2 linked regions of the Styela clava genome follow. The protein of the gene in region 1 interacts with the protein of each later gene in a biochemical or structural test. Links are inferred from orthologs where the notes say so. Each region holds a gene or a part of one and is shown on either strand. Other genes may lie near its edges.

Region 1 (10,391 bases):
GGGTTCCGATTCATCATCGACAGTAGTAATATCCCAGGCGTAGATATCTCGCGTTATATCTCCCAGATCAGTGTTTATTGAAGGAACTGGCGATGCAGAAGATTCGGTTTGAATATCTTCATCATCCAACTCGCTGTCTTCATTGGGGTCGTAATCAGTTGGTTTTAATGGATTACCCCAACTTTCTTCGCTTTCAGAAAGTCGTGGCGCGTCAGGAATGGCGACTCTCAGATTAGGCACATACATTTCTGAGTCCACTTCGCTGTATTTACGATAATTTGAATCTTCCTGATCTTTTATGTTTCTAACGTAGAGTCCAGAGGTGCTGGGAGATGCGTCGGTGACGTGTACCGTTGTTTCATGTAAATGGAGAATTTCCGGTTTTTCTCTCATATTCTCTGGTTCAGAATTGCGCTTCCTGCCACACTTATCTATCCAACATAAAAGACTTCCAAAACACAACGTCATTCCAATTCCTACAAAAAACGCCACTATTAAATACATAGTAACTGGAATAGGCGAAGAAACCGGTAAGCCAACAAATGTTATTTCCACCATTCCAGCTTTATCGTTAAAAATTTCCGCATACTGTGTTCCGCCTGAAAATTTTATGTAGCTTCCTCCACCACCAGAAAATCCATTTGAAGAACCCCCTCCACCACCAGTATACCCACCTCCTCCACCTGATGCAGTAATATAGCCTGATCCACCACCACCGAAACCTCCTTCAGAATATCTCCCATCTGCTATATCGTATCTGCCACCAGCAAGAGATTGATATAATTGCCTTTCTGTGTCGTTGACGCTTTTAGCATTACCAAATGGTAAAAATCCTACAGCAGGAAGAGCAGTGTCTCCAAAATTAACAAGGCTTCTTGAAATACCATGAAAACCTGCTCCACCGGCCGTGTTTGATGCGCCCGGTAGTCCAGGTCCCACTGTTTGTTGTTTACCACCACTACCAAATCCTTGTCCAGTGGCTGAAGCGTCTCCGGCAGTGTGGTTCAGTCTACCATCTGATAATGAAGATGGCGATGCTCCCCGAAAAGCGCTTCCGGCGCCACCAGCAATAACTATAGGCTCGTTTGTACCATCACCTGCTACAACAAAACTTCCTCCGGCCCCTCCTTGGGTCATGTCACCAAAGTATTCTCCCTGTTGTCCAACGGCAATCATAAGTTTTGCACCCTCAAGGAGGTGGAAAAGCCCCGAGACCGTAGCGCCCTTTCCTCCCGGCCCCTCATACCCTGCACCTGTTGCTGTAATACGATAGAGACCTTGAATTGGAGCCATCCAGTGTTGGATACCGAATTCTACTGTTGTAAGTTTATCCAAGGAAGTTTTTCTGTATGCATTATTGCAATATACTTGAGTAGGTCCAATTCTCCCTTGTCGTAGACAGTTCGAAAATCTCCATACAAGCCGAGGAAATAATTGATGTGAGTCGTACGGAGACCAGGTATCATATAATTTTGAATTACTTACATTTACTACACTTTGCATCCATGAATTCCCTTCGCCCACTACAGTAGTCAACACAATACGGTAGGTTGACCCAAGGCTGAGTTTCAATACTTTTTCAGTTTCTTGTTTGTGGATTTTGTAGGAGAGAAATTCTGGCTGAAATTCTATCGCACTGTTAGATTTATATATGCGAGTTAAATTAAGTAAATAGTAGTCCATGTTCGCAACTGACACATTCACTGCAGCCCATTGTATTTTGACCTGAGAAAGAGTTACTTGAACCAAGTCTGTAAGAATAGGATTTTGTGGTTGAGTATAGAGAACAAGCGGGATTGATGATACACTGCGAGCTTTTCGATCGTTTTCCCTATTGTCTCCAACTTCGCAGTATATTTGTATTTTATAAAGCGTCCCTGCAGCAAGGTTGTCTAAGGAATGTGTCATCTGTTGAGCACCATCACGATTCCACACCGAAATGCGATTCACATTAAGCGAGTCCGAGACAGGGTGGTAGACGACTTCATACCTCCAGAAGGTTGGCGTTTCCAATGTATCTGGCTTTTCCCAATTGAGTAAAATTTTTCCTTGTTTCCCGTATCCGCTGAAACTCTTTGGTGGCATCGGCACTGTTCTAGTCAGCATACTGGTTGAAGACGTCGTTCTTACAGGTTCTAGCGTAGAAACTGTGACGTGGATTCGGTAAAGCTGTCCGGGTTCGAGACCAATGATTTGTATACTCGTAGCTTCTTGAAGATTGTAGGAAATTGGTGACGAACGTCTTTCTGATCTAATTAGCTCGTATTCAATGATAACTACGTTAGAAGCATTCATATTTAGAAATTCGAAGTTTAGAAAAACTTGTGTCGTTGTGATATTATCTATGAATATTTCGTTCGGTAAGGATGGAGCTGTGCGTGCATACAAATCAGTTGCTTCGCTTACTTTTCCAAACGGAACGCTATTTCGAATATATTTTATTGAAATAAGATATAACACACCTGGTTTTAGAGCAGTTATGTTATATTCTTGTACTTTATTTGAAATATTTATGACTTTTTCTTTCGAATCATCTTTTCCGAACGGTGAGTATGAAAGGATGACATCAGAATCTTTGATGTCATAACTATCTTCCCAACCGAAAAGTATGGATGTTGTGTCGTATCTAACTACATCTGCTTCACCCGGGCCAGGTACCTTAAACTCATACCGTATTTTCAAAGGCAAACTTGTCGTTGGATCTTCTCCCAAACTTTTTGTAACAACAGAAAAGCTGTATGTTGCTCCTAATTCTATTCGCACGGCCTGAGAAACATTTGTTGCAGATGACGAAATGAATGCACTAGCCTGTTTATGAGGAATGTCAATAGGACGAGTTCGATATTTAAAAGCTTGTGTACTTGTGAGTTTGTCTACAATTCTGTACGTTAAAGTGAAAATATCATATTTTGGGCCATTAATGGGGGTGGGAGATCCATCCCAAACGACATACACTTCATCTGGTCGATTTTTCATAGAAACGATTCTTAAATTTGAAATAGGAGGGGGGACGGTCCTGGCCTTGATGGTTTGCGCTACTGGTGACAAAAGATAATTTCCAAGTGAATCTTTTCCTTGAGTGCGGACGCTAATTTTGTATAAAACACCGCTTTGTAATCCAGGCACGATGATTCTAGAACCTCCGAGGTTTTTATCGACTTCAATATTTTGTTTTTCAGTGTCACTTTCATAGTCAATGCGAAAATGTGAATATCTGGCATCATTCCGGTAATTAGCGGGAGGAAGAAAACTTAAAATCAGCGTTGTGGTTGTGGCAGTTCTCCTTTGCAAATTTCTTGGAGGGGGCAATGTAATATCCGTTATTTCCCTGGGTATGAATTCTGCTGTTGTTGGCGGCGCGTTAGTTGTTGCGTTGTTTGTATTTGACACCTCTGGAATCGTTGTTAAGTTATTCACAATGCTCGTGGTCTGGGCGTCAATACCTGCCCATAGTTGGAGTACAAACAACACGATGATATGATCTTTATAACTCTTCATTGTCATCTCATTATAAAACGTTATTTGTCAAGATTATATTCGTATTAATTTTCTATAAAAAAAATATAAAAAAGAATTTATATGAAAATAAATAATGAATTTATGTAATGAACGGGTCCACGATATTAATAATATGAAAATAGTTTAAAAAAAATCGAATATTCTTAATTAAATAATTTTGGTATAGCTATATATCATATAGGACATATATGATCATTCTTTTCAATCATTCTTCAATTCATCTTCTTTCAATCATTCTTTGTAATGATTTGTTTTTGTAATGATTTTGTTCAATGTCTTTATATATATGCTGCCTAAAGTCTTCCACCATTTACACATAAAGTTATTGTGTATCCTTCAACTTTAAAAACCCGATTCCACGCAATTGATGTATTCACTTACAGGTTGGTAATTGGTAACAGACTCCGATGACCGCATGGTCGTATCGTTGCCACCCAGTCTATACCGAGAACTGTTTCGCTTTTTATTAATTATGTTTTTGTTGTGTATATGTTTTCTGGTTGACAAAACAAATGAACTCTTTCTCTAAACTCTCTCTCTCTTTTAAAAAATAACGGCATTATCAGGGTAGAAACGGTTTAATTATTTCAAATTAGCATATTTTGCCAAGTCAAGGGATAGAGATTTTCAAATTTAGAAAAATCGTTCATTCGGCTGTTTTTAATTTACAACTTCTTAAACGGAAAATACTTGCGACAAGAAACATTAACCCGATTTACAAATAAATAAATGTTAGTTTAAAAATAAAATTTGAAACAATGAATTATTTTCCGATTCGAGGTCCCTTGAAGCTTGAGGTACCTACCTTGCCATTTGGCGAATCTAGCACTGACCCGGTGTCATAGGACTAGCGTGTTCATATGCGTTCACATATGATTTTTCAATGGACACACATAAATAATATGCAACTTGATAATACAGTTTGTATTGTCCTTTCACTAATCTATACATATATACCGGAATAATGTTTTGTAACATTTAAATTAAAAACCTTGGTAGTGTAGATTATTTTTCTCAACTATCAGTCCATTCACGAATACTGACGTTTGTATTTCGCTTACCTTTGAATATCTTTAAAATTTAGCTATATTTTTGTGCCAACCCTTTTTTGGTGGTCTAGGCACTTCCTGGTTATTTTGCCAAACTATTAGTCTCAAATACCGTAGCTTGCAATCTTCATGTATTTTTGCGCTGGGTGGAATACGAACTTTTACCTGACTGTAGACATATCGGAAAAACATTCAATCCAATTTCGTCACTTCATGGTATTTCATAACTTTTCTCGTTTCTAATTTTGATCCTCAAATAATGTTAAATTTATTCTGGTGGAAATTATTCTTTACCAACTATAGTACTCATAAACACTGGTTCTTTTTAAATTAAAGATTTGACACAAACGATACCAGCTTTTCCGCGGAACTCGACAATTCTCAACGATTAATTTGCTCACACAAATACGAAAATGTTCAAGCAAACCTTCAAAAATAGTTCTATCGCCTCGAGCGATGTAGACTCATTACGGAATGATTTTGAAGTAAATGAAAGGTAGAGTTTAACATAATTATTGCTTGGAAATAATTAACAAATGAAGACTAGCGAAAAACAATAGTTCAAATGATGTCATTTATACTGATAAGCTAACTAGGCACTCAACTTGTGTAGTCAAAACGCCTTCTCTACTTTTGTTATTTTTAAACATAGGCGTGTCGTAATATAAATTAAACTAGCAGCATTGAAACGGAAAACGTCAACGTGATCAGAAAGTCGATATAATGGCTCAGCTGCACGGCAAATGATGTTACCAGTTCGTACAGATCGGTTCAAAAGATATTGCCAATCTTTTACACACTTCGACCCATGGCCTACATCCAGAGGTGCGGCAGCGAGCGTATTTCTAACTAACGCTTAGCACGATTCGAATTAGAACGTCGTGAACAATGTCATTCAGAACATATGTTACCCATTGAGATGATGTTACCCCAGGAATAGTTTTTTTCATACCAAAAATCAAAACTTTCTTCCCTGAACTATGGAATGGAATGGAATTTCGAGGGTCAATTGTCGGGTGTGGTGATCTCACGTTTCTGCGTTTTTAATAAAGGATAACATTTTTATATTTATGGAGAAGAAATTTTATAAGACGGCGTATTCATATGGCGAACCACGACCACTCGTCCGGGATATATATGTAAATCATACCCAAGGATAATTCTTTTACGCTAAAAATCAAAACTTTCTTCATTGAACCAGAGCCATTATATAACGGTTATATAATGGCTCTGATTGAACTATGGAATGTAATTTTGAGGGTCAAAGGTCGGGCAAACATCCCTATACTGCCCTATATTGACCAGTTTGTGGTGATCTCGCGTTTCTGCTATTTTAATAAAAGATAAAATTTTCTATAAGAAATTCTATAAGACGAGTGTTCGGACAGTGCAAATATGATATCGCTATCCGTTACAAACATTTGGGTTCACGCAGGCTCGAATGTGGAGATATGTTTATCAACAATCACAGATAATGCAACAGGCTCGATCAGGATAGGATAGGATGACTCGGCGGTGTGGCGCATCGTGCTAAGCGTTAGGAATACGCTCGCCACCGCATCTCTGATTACTTGGTGCAGGTAGTACTGGTACCGGTACCGGTTGTGTAGGACCGTCTCACGGAATTTTATGAGATCAGCGAACCGGTTAGCATTACATGACTTTTTGTAACAGAACCGCCTGAAAATATGACATTTGTATGATAGAACCGGCTGACACAAAATTTAAATCCCACCACTGCCTTGGGGGGGGGGGGGGTTCGCAGGTTCGAATCCCATGAAAGATGTGCGAGAGGATTGCTGGACTCGTCGCCGCCGTAGGGTGGTTCACGTAACTGCTGGTCGGTTACGGGTTCCACCACCATCATGTCCATGCTTCTGAAAACAAAATAACTGGCTAACTAATCCCATAGGTACCCGACCTGGACGTGAGGCCGTGGTTCGCCATATGATTAAGTCGTCTTATCGGCTTTCCTCTCCCCCGGGATAAATATGTAAATCCTATCCTAAATGAGGTATTTATTACTATAAAACCAATATATCCACATGCTGGTTGGTTATTTATCTCGTTACTTGAGCTATTGTTATTTGTATTTAAGAATGTGAGTAAATAAATACCATATAGACTATATATTTGAAGAATTAGCACTGCAAATTAAAAAATGGAGACTACTAATGCTCCTGTTGCTGTAATGGAAAATCCCACAACTTCAAATATTCCGACATTTTTATTGAAACTTGTTAATATGTTGAAAGATGAATCAAATCACGAATATGTGGACTGGAATGAGGTAGTCTAGATTTGTGTGATTATATATTTAATAATGTGGAATTAGAAATGTTTACATTGTAACATTTGTATAATTGCACTAAATAATTTCAGAATTTGGTAATTCAATCGTTTAATAAACTTATCTCATATTTTTATAAATTAGTATATTTTTGCTATTAGGGGTGAAATGTATTACATAATCACAGCATTAAATCAGTTTGTTATCCTCTGTAAGCTTTATGAATATTTACTGATTGCCTACAAAGTTATTTCATTGTATTTTCACTAAGCCTTACATCCCACATCATCACATATTTTCCCATTGTGACTCATGATTGGAGTGACTCGTTTTGACTTGAGACTCAAGTGTTAAAATTAGCTCATACTCTGGGGTTAATGACTCAATCATGTGTCTCTTGAGATCAAGACTCTTGGCCTGCAACTTGGTACTTGTGGACTGGCTGAATAGCACCCAGTGTTGCCATTGAAAGTCTTGTTTCTGAAATTTCAATTTCTGACTGAATAGATTAATCTATTTTTTTTTTCAGGCAGGAACATCTTTCATTGTGAAAGATCAAGTACAGTTTTCAAAAATTGTTCTACCTAAGTATTTCAAACATAATAAGTTTGCAAGTTTCGTCAGACAATTGAATATGTGTGAGTATATTTCAAGTTTTCATGGTAATAATGAAAATCAAAATTTGTACAGAATTTTGGAATAATTATTGTTGACTAAGCATGACTAACAGTTTGTTAAAGAAGTCTTGCATACGCAAAACTTTTTACTGTCTGAATTTAATGTTCTGGGAGAGTTCGGAGGTAGAGTTTGAGACAAAATTTGCATTAGCTTGGCGTGGGAGAATGTTTTTCAAGTCACAGTCATGATTTTTTCAACACAGTAATTGTAAATTTTCTTCAGCCCCTGTCATTATTGGCAATTTTTGTTTTTTCCAGTATACACTTTATGGAAATGTTAGTAGAATATGAGATCTATAAAAAAATATTGGAGTAAGTAATCAATTTTAATAATCTGTCAGATGGATTTCGCAAGATCACATCATTAACACAGAGTGGTTTGAATAATGAAAAGGAGGAGATTGAGTTTTACCATTATTTGTTCATTCGTGGTGAAGAAGTATTTCTGGAGCATATCAAGAGAAAGGTATTTATCTGTTCAATTATTTGAATTATACAATAATTTATTGTTTATATCACTATAATCTACGTTATTAATTGAGGTTTTGCGAGATTAGCTATTTCAACCTTACAATGTCTTTTCAGCGATGTCAATATGTTATCAGGTAATTACTGTGATGCGATATATTACCAGGGGCATTATCAACCATGTTTGTAGTGACACATTATTTTTATTTTACATATTTCTACAATCTACATTAATGGAAATGTAAACACTTTCAAAACCAGTTTTATAATATAAGAACTCATGAATGCATGCATGAATATTCACAATGAACAATTTTTGTGCTCTTGGACTAAATCTTGTTAACATGATTACATTACATTTGAGGCATGGCCTCTTTTATTAGGCTGCTGATTTGAATATGCAAGAACTTAATTCTATTCAAATTAGATGAAGACGAAGTTGTAGAATACCAATCTATTCATATATGTTCTTCCCTATTTTGGCAATACTTTGAATTTGAGCCTGTAGTTATCTTGTTTTTGTGTCCAGGTACCAAAACCAGAAGAATCAAATCGCCGTAACAATGAAGATGTTACCAAAGTACTCGATGATGTTAAACAAATGAAAGGCTACCAAGAAAACATAACTTCGCAGCTATCAGAATTGAAGCAGTATGTATATATATTCTAAGACAGTACTTCTCTAACTTATATATTCTAGGTTAGTTCGTCTCCAACTTATATGATCTGTGGCCCTCCTCTGAAGACTTTCATCACTTTGTGGCCCCCTACCTAGTTTTGTTTGGCCCCCTACCTAGTTTTTTTTTCAACACTAGGACTGTCCTTCTCTAACTTATATGATCTGTGGCCCTATTCCGAAGACTTTCATCCATTTGTGGCACCCTGCTCTTCAATAAAAAACCTAGTTTTGTTTTTAACAGACTTCCATCAGTTATTATATTCGCAATGTTTAATAATAAAAAGCCACCCAATAACTTTAACACCTTTTAATGATTTTCCAAAAATAATTTTTTAATTTATTAATGGGAACAAATTAATTCGTTTAATTTTTTTTCAGAGAGAATGAAGATTTGTGGCGAGAGGTTGTTAATCTACGTCATAAGCATTCACATCAACAGAAAGTTGTCAATAAGGTGATTAAAGTATTCAATAACGATAAATTTAGGATTTTCAAATTTTGTTAGATAATGAAGGAAAATAAAAACCCGAATATTTTTAGGTTTTTCACCTAATATTTTGAATTGTATTAGAAGATGCATTTAAATCTGTAAAGAACCAAGTTCACATTTATTCAAATTTACATATGAAGAATTGATAGGTCATTTTAAATGATCCTGGATCAGTTTAAAATCTAGAAAATTTAGTTTTAATTCCTATGTTAGGGTTAGGAACAAAATATTGCTTCACTATGCAATTCAAGAGTCCTGCTGCACACTAACACAAATGTATTTCTCTACAGTTCTCATACAAGCAGTTTACAACAATGCATTACAGAAATATATTTGTGTTAGTGTGGCATGACTCTTGAATTGCATAGTATGGCCATGTTTATTCCCGATACATCCTTGCATTATACACATACGGATCCACTAGCAAAAGGGCATGGGAGTTAGTCTCCTTTAAATTTTACTGACAGTTACTATTTTGCTTATTTGCTTTTTTTAATTGATCTCACTGGTTTCATGAGAATAAATAATGGTGATACCTTATTATTTGTGTACCTTTGTGTGGTTTGAATCGATATATTCAACAAACATATTGTCTTCAAAGTTCCTTTGAAATATTGTATTTGTATATCAATTCGATCCTTTTTTTCATATTTTTTTGTCCTTCATTTCAGCTTATACAGTTCTTGGTAAACTTGGTTCACCAGCATGGTATAGGAGTAAAAAGGAAGCTGTAAGTATTCTTGATGTTTTGATTAAACAGAAAACATAGCTTATCTTGCTTTTGCCTTTATCATAACTCTCATAATAATTTTGAATTTGCTTTAATTTATGTGTGATATGATCTTAAAAAAGGATAAAGAGAAAAACCCTTTTTGATACTAGTAGATTATTTTTAACAATTTTGTCAGAAATAAAATTGTTTTGCATAATGTGCAAATTTTTTGAGGATAATACAATAATTTAACTAGACATACTCTGTAATGTATTCTGCCTTTAGATCAGGGGTCTCCAACTCAAAACATGTCGTGGGCCACTTTTTGAAATTTGTTGACCACTCGGGCCGCAAACCAAGAAATTAGGTACAAAAATGGGTATCTGAATGTATTGTGTTGAAATTACACTTAAATCTTACAGCAAACGAGACATGAAGCATATTCATTCACTTGTGCCCGATATTTGGTCTCAATGTTTGGCCTTATTCTGTGTTGGTTTGCTAGAC
Region 2 (10,213 bases), on another chromosome or scaffold:
TTCTGTTACGTCATTATTATTTTACATCGCATCAGACAAATAACTATAAACTAGTACAGCCGTAATGTGGAATGGATGTTTCCCGGCCTTTGACCCCAGGAAAATTCTCCCCATACCTCACCATTATAATATTTCTCCTGGGTAGTTTGAATATCAATAAGAACATTGCAAGTTCTTTTTAACTTGAAAATAACATTTTTAATGAATTGCTATAAATATACTTGTCATTTTATACAGACATATTTCAAATAGTTTCTTGTAGCTCTCCAGCTCTATCTTAAAACAAACAAAAATTTCTGTAAAAAAGCATTGTAAATATACTACATTTTTACAAATTAGGTGCGTTCCGGTTGTTACGATTTTTTCAACTTATCACCGAATATAATATCAAAACTATATTCCAGGGCTAAATTCCAATTACTCAAATATTTAGATAGTAAGCGGCTCCCGGCCATAATTTCACACATTTGTAGGGCCAACACAATATTTCCTGTCATTATGTTCAAATCATCATTGATAAAATAGAGGGTACACATTACATTTGATTAATATTTTTTTTCTTAAACATAAGTCACTGACTATTGAATTTTGAGAGAGCTGATACTTTTGTGATAATTAGTTGATATGTTGGGAATCAAAATTTTTATGAATTTCCTTGCCAGCAAATTTTACCAGTTATTGTTTTTTTTATAAAAATATGCTGTATATAAAATAGTGTATAACTCCAATTTGTTTATTGTCATTACCACTCATTTCGCTTGATTGGATGATTGACAGATTTGTCGATATCTCTTGGTTGTCGATACCGGCATCTTCATAAATAAAAAGTGTTAGAATTCGTGCTGGTAATATGGCACTGACAAAAACATTTTACAGAACCATACAAATTAAGTCAAAATTAGTCCTATATTTGGCCTATGGCAACAAATATATAATATATTCAAGGCCTGCACAACTTGAATGAACGAAAGAGCCGCAACATACAAAAACAATTGTTCACGGCCCACAACTTATCATTATTACCATATAACTTATATCATGTCATATTTTTCGTAATGTCGCGTATGAACAGTGTAACACGTGATAAATTCGACGCAACAAGCCTTCAATAAAATAAGTTGCATTTTTTTCATAGATAAGTGTCAAGATTTATTCCATAAATAGGAGAGAAATTGTTTGTGTAATAGAATATGCTGTAAAGTTTTGGTGTACCGCACAATGCATTCTGCGGCCGCCTTTCGCCCATACACTTCCGACGGTGAACCGACGTACAAATATTTTTGTCAATGCAATACAATAAATTCACGAAAGTCGGGAAATCCATTCAATTTATTCAACAACATAAATTCTACATTTCTGAAGATTTGAATATCAAAGTCTGTATCGCAGAATATAGATTGAAAACATCAAAACAAAACAAATATATATACAAAATGTCTAGTTCTAGAAAACTATCCAGAGGTTAGCTGTTAGCAAAACATTGCTGTCATGCTCAGCCGCATGTAAGCAGTACAAAAGTTAATATGACTTGTGAAAATGGAGCAGTAATTACAGTACTATCAGCGCAAAATGCACGTTCGACGTTCATTTTAGCACAATGAACGTACACAGTTTCACCGAAAGCACGCGCCAAGAGTGCATCCTTCGCAGAAAATGTTGCGTACCGATAGAGAACTTAAGCCTATTATATCATAGCTATTCCTAGAATATTTTGGATTACTGCAATTACACTAGAACTCCTAAGAAGGCAAAATGATGATTGGCATATTTGATTCATACTTGAAAATCTACGAAGTGGAATGAAGTGCGAGTGGATGCGAAAAGGCTTCTGTAACGTCACTTTTTGCGTCTTGCTGATTGGACAATATTACGAAATAAACAAGGCAGTCGACTCTCGGAGAAACATCTCTTAGAGATAAATTTCGAGCAAAACTTTGCGGGCCAGATGAAAGGACGCCGCGGGCCGGAAGCGGTCCGCGGGCCGTAGTTTGGTGACCCCTGCGTTGCAGCATTGTTGCCAGTAGTTGATGACCGATTTTATTATTAATTTTTATCACTGGAATGTGAGTATTTTATTTTTAATAATTCGTGACTTAGCGGGTCACCAAAAACATGGTAATCCGCAAACCGATCAGTTTTTCGTTATCCCAGGCTATGCCATCTATAATGCCCATGACGTCAGCAATGACGTAATAATGTTTTCTGTGCCTATGTTATATCGACATATGGTAGTGTAATATGTATTAGGCCGTCATAAATGAATTTTTAAATTTTACCGGACCGGGTACCGAACCACAGTCATACATTGCACATGAAAACGTTACTAAATAACATGCGTCAACTTAACACCACCTGAATCGGGGTACAAATTTTGGTACAGTGACTGTCATAGCCGTTTAGGGCTGATGGACAATTCGACTACATGGACAACTCACCAGGTCTATCTGAAGTCGAGTTGTCGTCTGCCTCCCATTTCACATGTCCCGTGACAATGATCTACTCTTCCCCATTCAATTGCAATATGAATTGAAATACTAAGTAATCCGTTTCATTCACTTCTCTCCATTATTGGAACAAAATTTAAAAAACAAGCCCCGCTTTTACCAGACAGCTACGAGTTAGTTCAGTGTCACCGCGCTACCGGAACTGCCCTATCTTTAGAAGATCCTATCTTGTGATAGCGGGAATTGAAATTGCAAGATGGTGCGACTCACAACTGTAGTAACACCAACGATCCGAGTCACTACTGTAATATAACACTATTCGCCATTCTTCAAATCTTAGCAAAGCAAGGATTCCAATACGAACCACCGACGTTTGATTGCACGTGATTAAAAGACATGAAGAGCAGTGCCAGCATATGAGTCCGCAGAACGTTGGGTGACGTCATAGCAAACAAAAACAAATCTCACAGAGCCAACAGAAATATTTGAAATAAATAAAAGTAATAGCCTTCTGGAGAAAAAAATCCTTTTTAACCGCTAAAAATTTCAAAGCAAGTGGTCCAGTAATCAAAGAGAAAAGCGACTTTTTCGATTTTCCACTAGGTGTCCAGAAAGTGTCAAAGAACAAGAACAACAACATAATGTTGAAACGATCCATAGGTTCACTACGTGTGCAATTATCATATTTGTGTTTGCCCAAATAAATTAGTATAGGTATATATATATAACTATCAATAGGATCCCCTTTTTGGACACGTAGTGGACATAACGATCGTTTCAATATTATGTTGTTGTTCTTGTTCTTTGACACGTTTTTAAAAAGTCGCTTTTCTCTTCGAATACTGGACCAATTGCTTTGAAATTTTCAGTGGTTAAAGATTAATTTTTTCGCTAGAAGGCTATTACTTTTATTTATTTCAAAATTTTGCGTGAATTCTATGAAATTTGATATTTCGTCAAAAATTTTGCTGTATTATTTTTTATCCATGGGAACACGGATTTTAGTCAGTGTCATGACTGGCTGAACGTTTTGATTCTGCAAAATTCTTGCTACTGGAAATTTAGAACTTTTTTGAGGGTACCGGTAGCGTCAAAGGTACCGGTAAGGACTGATTCGCTCTGGTCTAACGTTTCCATATATTTGTGCGTAGCTCTCTTGTTCAGCATATTAAGGCATTTTAGGGGAAATAACTTTTCAAAATTCTAAATATTCACATTTCGATTTTTAAAGCTAGAGAGGTGGGGCTCTTCATATCTAGACAAATTCATTTATTCGGCCGTATTTATTTTAGTAACCTTTGGAATGAAAAATATTCAATTTTTGGGGAGTAAAGGCTAATTTATAGCTATCCTAATTTTTTTAGCTATTATTAGGGTTACCATATTTTTTTGACTACAAAGCATAGAGAATTTATCTATTCGCCCAAGCATGCTTTTCTGTAGATAACATCGTCAAAAAGATGTTACAATGTTACATTCACGTGAACGTCCGAACAGGACCAAATAGAATGATTTTACACGTGATACGTTCGCTAACAATATTAGCGGGAAACGACGAAACAAACAAAATAGCTCATTCACCTTCAGTAAGTAGGCTAGTGTTGCGCTACACAGCAACAACAGTAACGAGAACATGTTCGTGTGGCGCGGCGGTGTGGCTCAACGGGCTAAGCGTTAGGAATACGCTCGCCACCGCACCTCTAATTACTCTGCGTGGGTTCGCAGGTTCGAATCTCATGCAGGGATGATTATGTGCGAGAGGATTGCTGGACTCCGCGCCGTCGTTGGGTGGTTCACGTAACCGCTGGTCGGTTACGGCTTCCTCCACCATTAAGTCCATGCTTACAAAAACAAAACAATATAACTAATCCCATGCCCGACTTGGAATGGTAACCGGACGAGAGGCCGTGAATCGCCATATGGATAAGCCGTCTTATCGGCTTTCCTCTCACCCGGGATAAATATGTAAATCCTATTATATCCTAATATGCTGGATGGCTGAACTGATGGCTTTGGGCTGACTTGTCGGGACGGCGGGACAAGACGTTAGAAAGCGGGACTGTCCCGCCTAAAGCAGGACGTGTGGTAAGCCTAGCTATTATACATTTCGCCCAAAGCATTTGGATTTTGGAGAAATGGGGATGAAGACTGTATCAGTAGACTCCCTATTTGGAGCGAAAAAAGAATTGATCACGTAGTACGCTATTTTTATTTTAATTTGCACTATTTTTGTGGAATCTTACAGCCGCTAAACAAGGACAGATAATTGGTTTAATTTCACAAACATATTAATCAATTCAGAGCCACATGGCCTTAAATCAAAACGAAACACTGTGAATAAACAGTTAAAATTGTGGCGCTCAGGAAACGTACATTCGTGTTTTCGTCATGTATACTCTATGGTTATGAAAAATTTAATTTATCATAAGATGTAGTTGGTACTTTGCTTTCCCTGACAACAACAAAAAATAATAAATACCCGAATCCCGCATTGAAATTTCAAAATATAAATCTGCCATTTGGTCGTTGATTAACAAATGGCGTCACGGCGCGCACGTGCTGCTCGCGACGGGTGCTTCACTACCTTGCGACATTTCCCCATTTACAAGGGCTTGCGTCGGCTTATCTCCCTCTTTTCGATGTGTTTTTGACATGCCGGCGTTCTATGAATTTCTGTATTTGAAAGTAAGGACTGAGGCAAGTCTGCAAGTGTACCTAGATTTTGATATGTCATCTTTTTACATAGCCTTATGAACTGAATCCGTAGTTCTGTAGTTAGTTGAAGTTTGACGCTGGTTTACAGGCTTAGGACAGACTGACAGAAGAAACATCTGGAATGTTGGTTGAAAGGGTTGAAAGATAATTATGTACTGTTGCCACTGCTGAACTGTATAAGGCAGTAAGGTCCAGCATACCGGTACGGTACTCAGATAGTCCACCGGTACCGTACCTGGATCATGTCATAAGCTTCATTTGACTGTTTGACATTATCTGGTCTTTTGAGAGTTTGGTGTATTAGACTAATCAAAATTTGTAAATATGCTTCTAATAGTCGGAGATTTCAGTCTGTCTTCAAACTGTCTGTTAACCCAGTAACCCTCCAAATTATACTTTTTGAGTTTTGTTTATTTATAAAACTATTGACAGATTGACCTCAAACTTTGAGGTCTGCTGGTATACCGGTAGTTTAGTACCACATGCACTTCTAGTTGGCCCCGGCTCAACAATTTCTGAATTTTTGCATAGGCTATGTCATTCCTAACCCCCACCTGCCGTCGCCGGTCATCCAAAACGCGTCTGCGCGTAGACCATCACCTGAAATTGAGCAAGCTATTTCTCTTGTGTTCTCGACACAACGACCCTCATATGAGACAGATCGCCGATATTTGTGAGTTTGTTATTGGCGGCGCAGATAGCTAGCAGCTATACTTTGTCGAGCTCTACGATGTGAGTGTGACGTAATTATTGCGACATCTGATGATACCTATGCTGGCTTGAATAAATTTTTGATGCTGATGAATGAGATTTGCCAGTTTCAGAGTTTGTAGAAAGGTGAACAGAATCAGAAAAGGTTAGGTATATAAAATTGGAAACTTGAGGCCTGGGGTTCGATTACCAGTTACAGAATTAGCTTTCCAATCATCTACATTTTAACTAGAACTTACACCTTTTGAAAGTTAGGCGTTTTGAGACCTTGGGTCATTGAAAAGGTTCGTCTGAGAAAATCTGGTGTGAACACGATAACAACAATAAACTTGGGTATTATCTGTGTTTTACAGCATTAATAGTTTACAATTTTCAGTAGGATATCTCTTCACACCTGCTCGAAGCTGAGAACATTCAGAACTCACTTTTGTTGTTATTAATTTTTCGTTTTCAATAAACTTCAGAACTAGACGTTGCATTATATTCAAATACAAAATGTCTTCAGGAGATTCATGGTAAGCTATACTCTGTTAGCTTTTGTTCTATAGCCTGTTTGTTTATCTCTTGCCCCATATTTCCTAGTTTGATCACGATGGTAAATTTGTTCGGTACTCCTGTAGTATGTGAACCAAGATGGCGGACACCGAAATGTAGTATGTTTACCAGGTAATGGTTAGGCCATAATTTCAGGTACAAATACTACGGGAGTCACTTGGCTAGTCCCCGAACTCGTAATAGAACTAAAATAAGGAAAATTGGAATAAAAATATGGCCTAACCTGATACACATACTACGTTCTGGTTTCTTGGTTCACATACCACGGGAATACCATTTGTTCACCACTAACAAAAATGAGTATCAGAATTCAAGCCAATCTTTAACCAGCTTGAATCTTGGTTATCAATGAAATTACAAATAGACATATTTAGTAAATAGTTTGATGTGAATTTCTAATTTTTTAACCAAAATTGTTGGAACAAAGTCTTAAAGCAGGTTGGAAATGTTTTCAAAAATTAACAGAGTCCACAAGTTAATTGTATTATTTTTTTATTTTCATAGTGAATATGTCCCAACAATATGGGCACAGCGAAAAGATTTACTGCTGATATCATTTTGTGTCGAAGATTGTAAAAATCCAGATGTGAAATTCGAAGAAAAGAAAATAATATTTAACGGTCAGGGTGGATCGTTAAACAAAAAATATCATTCACAATTAGAATTATTTAAAGAAATAGATCCTAAGGTTTGTTAATTTTTTCTACGTTTGTGATTTAAAAAAAAATATAATTCATGAATTGAGATGTGATTATATATTCAAATTAAGTTTTATTCCATTACAATTTAACACAGCGACTTTCTCAGTTTCTGTTCAATGTTCATAATATGTCACATACTCACATTCATGAATATTGTCTCTGCTCAAAATTATCAGTTCTAATATGGTTGGGAGATACAGATTGAGATTATACAAATAGTTGTGTGTTTTTTTATGCAACGTATTGATACTTTTACACCTAACAAGACTCTGCATAGGGAACCACTAATAGGTAAGGAGCTGCTTCATCAGTTCTTTCGATTCAGCATTGCCTGAGCAGTTTATTAGATAATCCTGTTGTGTGTGAATCAGGTTAGGGTTAGGCCATGATGTTATCCCGATTTTCCTTATTTTAGTTCTATCACGAGTTCGGGGACGGCCTGTGTTAGCCAAGTGAATATACCCCCCTACCCATAGGTTTCGGTCCCCTTACACAACTTGATGTAAAGTATGCGAACAAAATTATTTACTGTAAATTCATATTGGTACACACACTTCTGGAGCGCCGTTTATTATACCCCGAGTTAGATGGCAGGCATGGGATTTGAATCCGAAGTGCCACCATAATTTAGTCTAACACTTTAACCACTTGGTCACTGTTTGTGCAAATCAATTTGTGTAGAAAGACCTGCAAGGCATATAACAAGGTGTAGTTAACAGGGTTAATTTCCAAAATTTCCAACTAACTTTGTTTTGTTAGAAATATCTACTCCTTCTCACGTGTTAATTAGAGAGTTGAAAATATTGAATCTGACTCAATATCTTATTAACTCAGGCTAATAAAATTTGGAACTTTTTGTGTGAATATTTTTATATGTAAAGTTTGTGTTTAAATTGTGTTTAGCAATGCACAGTGAAGAAAACATCAAGGCTAATATATGTACAAGCACAAAAGAAGGAATCTGGTCCGTTCTGGCCAAGACTGTTAGACGCAAAAATGAAGGTAAATTCTTTAAATTATACAATGAAAGTAATTATCTGCATCGACACAAATGGTTACAATCGACACCTAACAAAATTATGTATGTCTGAAGAAGTCCGACCTTGGTCAGACGAAGCATTATAGAAATATATTTGTGTTAGTGTGCAGCAAGACTCTTGAATCACTTCACATGGACAAACATGGCATTTTATTACTCTCTTTGAATACAACCCGATATATAATTTGAGATATTGCCAATGGTACGCAATGATTTAATTTGGGGTTTACCGAAGTCGATTGACCGGGGGCCAAAACTAGAAGCGGGAGGGTATTTGTGGACCCAGAGAGGGGAGCGCCCGCAAGGGCTGTTACTGTAAGCATATTTGAGATACTGGTATAATTGAATTGTTACTTATATACACATGCTCAAACTTTGATAATGATGTAACAAAGTGTTAAACTATTTCACTCAAGTTCGGCGGGCCATAGTAAATCGTTACTCAGGTCGTTATTGCCCCGTGGGCTGCAGTTTGGGAACCACTTATGACTGATTTAATTAATGTGGGTGAATTTTAAAATGTAATTTATTGAGTTTTTCTAGGCATTTAAACTGCATGGAAAATATACACAACTGTTCCTGGTATTTAATTTGACTATACTACGATATCTAAACAAACTCATTTATGATTTCAGCAACATTGGTTGAAAATTGATTTCAACAAGTGGAAAGATGAAGATGAATCGTCAGATGATGATACAGAAATGGGGGGTATGGGCATGGGTGGGGGCATGGGCATGGGTGGTGGCATGGGCATGGGTGGAGGTCAACAACCTGATCTTTCTCAGGTAAAAATGTTTTTGAAAACTGTTATGTGATACTGTAATGGGTAAAATTAGTGTATGCTTTTGAAAGAATATCTTTGATTATCAAATCAAGTTTTACACACGATTCTTCGATTGCTTATTAAATATTCTTATTAATAATAAACCTTTATTGAGGCTAATTTTGTGTGATTTCAGTGTAGTCAATTTCATTGCAGCTCATTATGTATTCACTACAAATATATTCATTTATTTTTATGACCTCATTATTTATAGATGCTACAACAGATGGGAAGGGGAACTGGAAGCGCTGACTTTGGTGATCTGGATGATGGCGATGATGATGAAGGCAGTGAACCTGATAGTGATGATGAAGGTATTTAATAATATATTAGATTTTTATAGAAAACAGAGCGAGTGTTTATGACTGGACAGCATTTTGTTCCTGAAGCTCTGGCTGCTGTGAATCAAAAAGATTACTGCAGTTTTTTGTTGTAAGCCTTGGATTTCGATGAAAGGGGAGGCATGAAGCCAAATACTCCTGTCCTCACCTATTACACATCATAGCTGTTCCCAAACTATAAGTCGTAATAGGTATAAAAATGGGTCGCAACTTTTTTTTACAGTTTTCAAGTTCTTTATTTCATTATAGACTGAACGTATTTCATTTGGCTTCTTTCTAGGAAGAACTATATCAAGTTAAGATTTGTTGAATCTTTTGTAGAAAGCCCCACCAACGCTCAGAATTACAGTAAATTACAATAATATTTAATGACAGTAAAATATACCAAGCCGCTGCCGACTGGTTTACATTAGGTTCCGATTTTTTGGGCACAGTCAACCTGTACATCACACAAGGTGTATAAAATTCGGTTCGACAAAAACAAGTGCTAGTATACCTAATATAAATTAGATTTCATTTTATTAATGTTCAATGTTAACTATGCTTTTGCTCCTTTGGTGCGGTGAACTCTACCTTTTATTGGATCTCTCTCATTTACTGTACTTACGATTTCTCAGCATACTGATACTTCTCAATTTGGTAGCCTATGATATGGACGTTCATGTCCATAAATCCATAAATGAATGCTTTGATTTTTAGAATTAATTTCAATGTTGAATTTCGAGGAAATTCATTTTGTAGTAAAATTTAAAAGAGTCTTATTTTGTCCAAATACCAGTAAAATGTAACTTAAGTCTTAGAATCTCATGCTATAATCTTCAAACATCTTGGTTCTCATATTTTCATGCAGCCTACAGCCCTATTTGTATGTTAAATTGCAA

The links. The genes of interacting proteins can lie anywhere in the genome.
Region 2: the proteins of heat shock factor protein-like (region 1) and co-chaperone protein daf-41-like form a complex in vitro, tested with the Homo sapiens proteins (2 studies listed by BioGRID). The link is inferred for Styela clava from reciprocal best matches to the Homo sapiens genes HSF1 and PTGES3.

Annotation. Positions count from the first base shown.
Region 1 is NC_135263.1:6,646,721-6,657,111, forward strand, and holds the start of heat shock factor protein-like, read left to right. Parts: upstream 1-6,645; 5' UTR 6,646-6,729; coding exon 6,730-6,858; intron 6,859-7,387; coding exon 7,388-7,496; intron 7,497-7,876; coding exon 7,877-8,001; intron 8,002-8,532; coding exon 8,533-8,654; intron 8,655-9,060; coding exon 9,061-9,136; intron 9,137-9,843; coding exon 9,844-9,902; intron 9,903-10,391. Other genes in the region: uncharacterized protein LOC120340514, read right to left, coding at 1-3,504. UniProt on the Homo sapiens protein: Functions as a stress-inducible and DNA-binding transcription factor that plays a central role in the transcriptional activation of the heat shock response (HSR), leading to the expression of a large class of molecular chaperones, heat shock proteins (HSPs), that protect cells from cellular insult damage.
Region 2 is NC_135259.1:4,437,054-4,447,266, forward strand, and holds the start of co-chaperone protein daf-41-like, read left to right. Parts: upstream 1-6,207; 5' UTR 6,208-6,365; coding exon 6,366-6,385; intron 6,386-6,929; coding exon 6,930-7,113; intron 7,114-8,029; coding exon 8,030-8,128; intron 8,129-8,800; coding exon 8,801-8,953; intron 8,954-9,205; coding exon 9,206-9,305; intron 9,306-10,213. UniProt on the Homo sapiens protein: Cytosolic prostaglandin synthase that catalyzes the oxidoreduction of prostaglandin endoperoxide H2 (PGH2) to prostaglandin E2 (PGE2).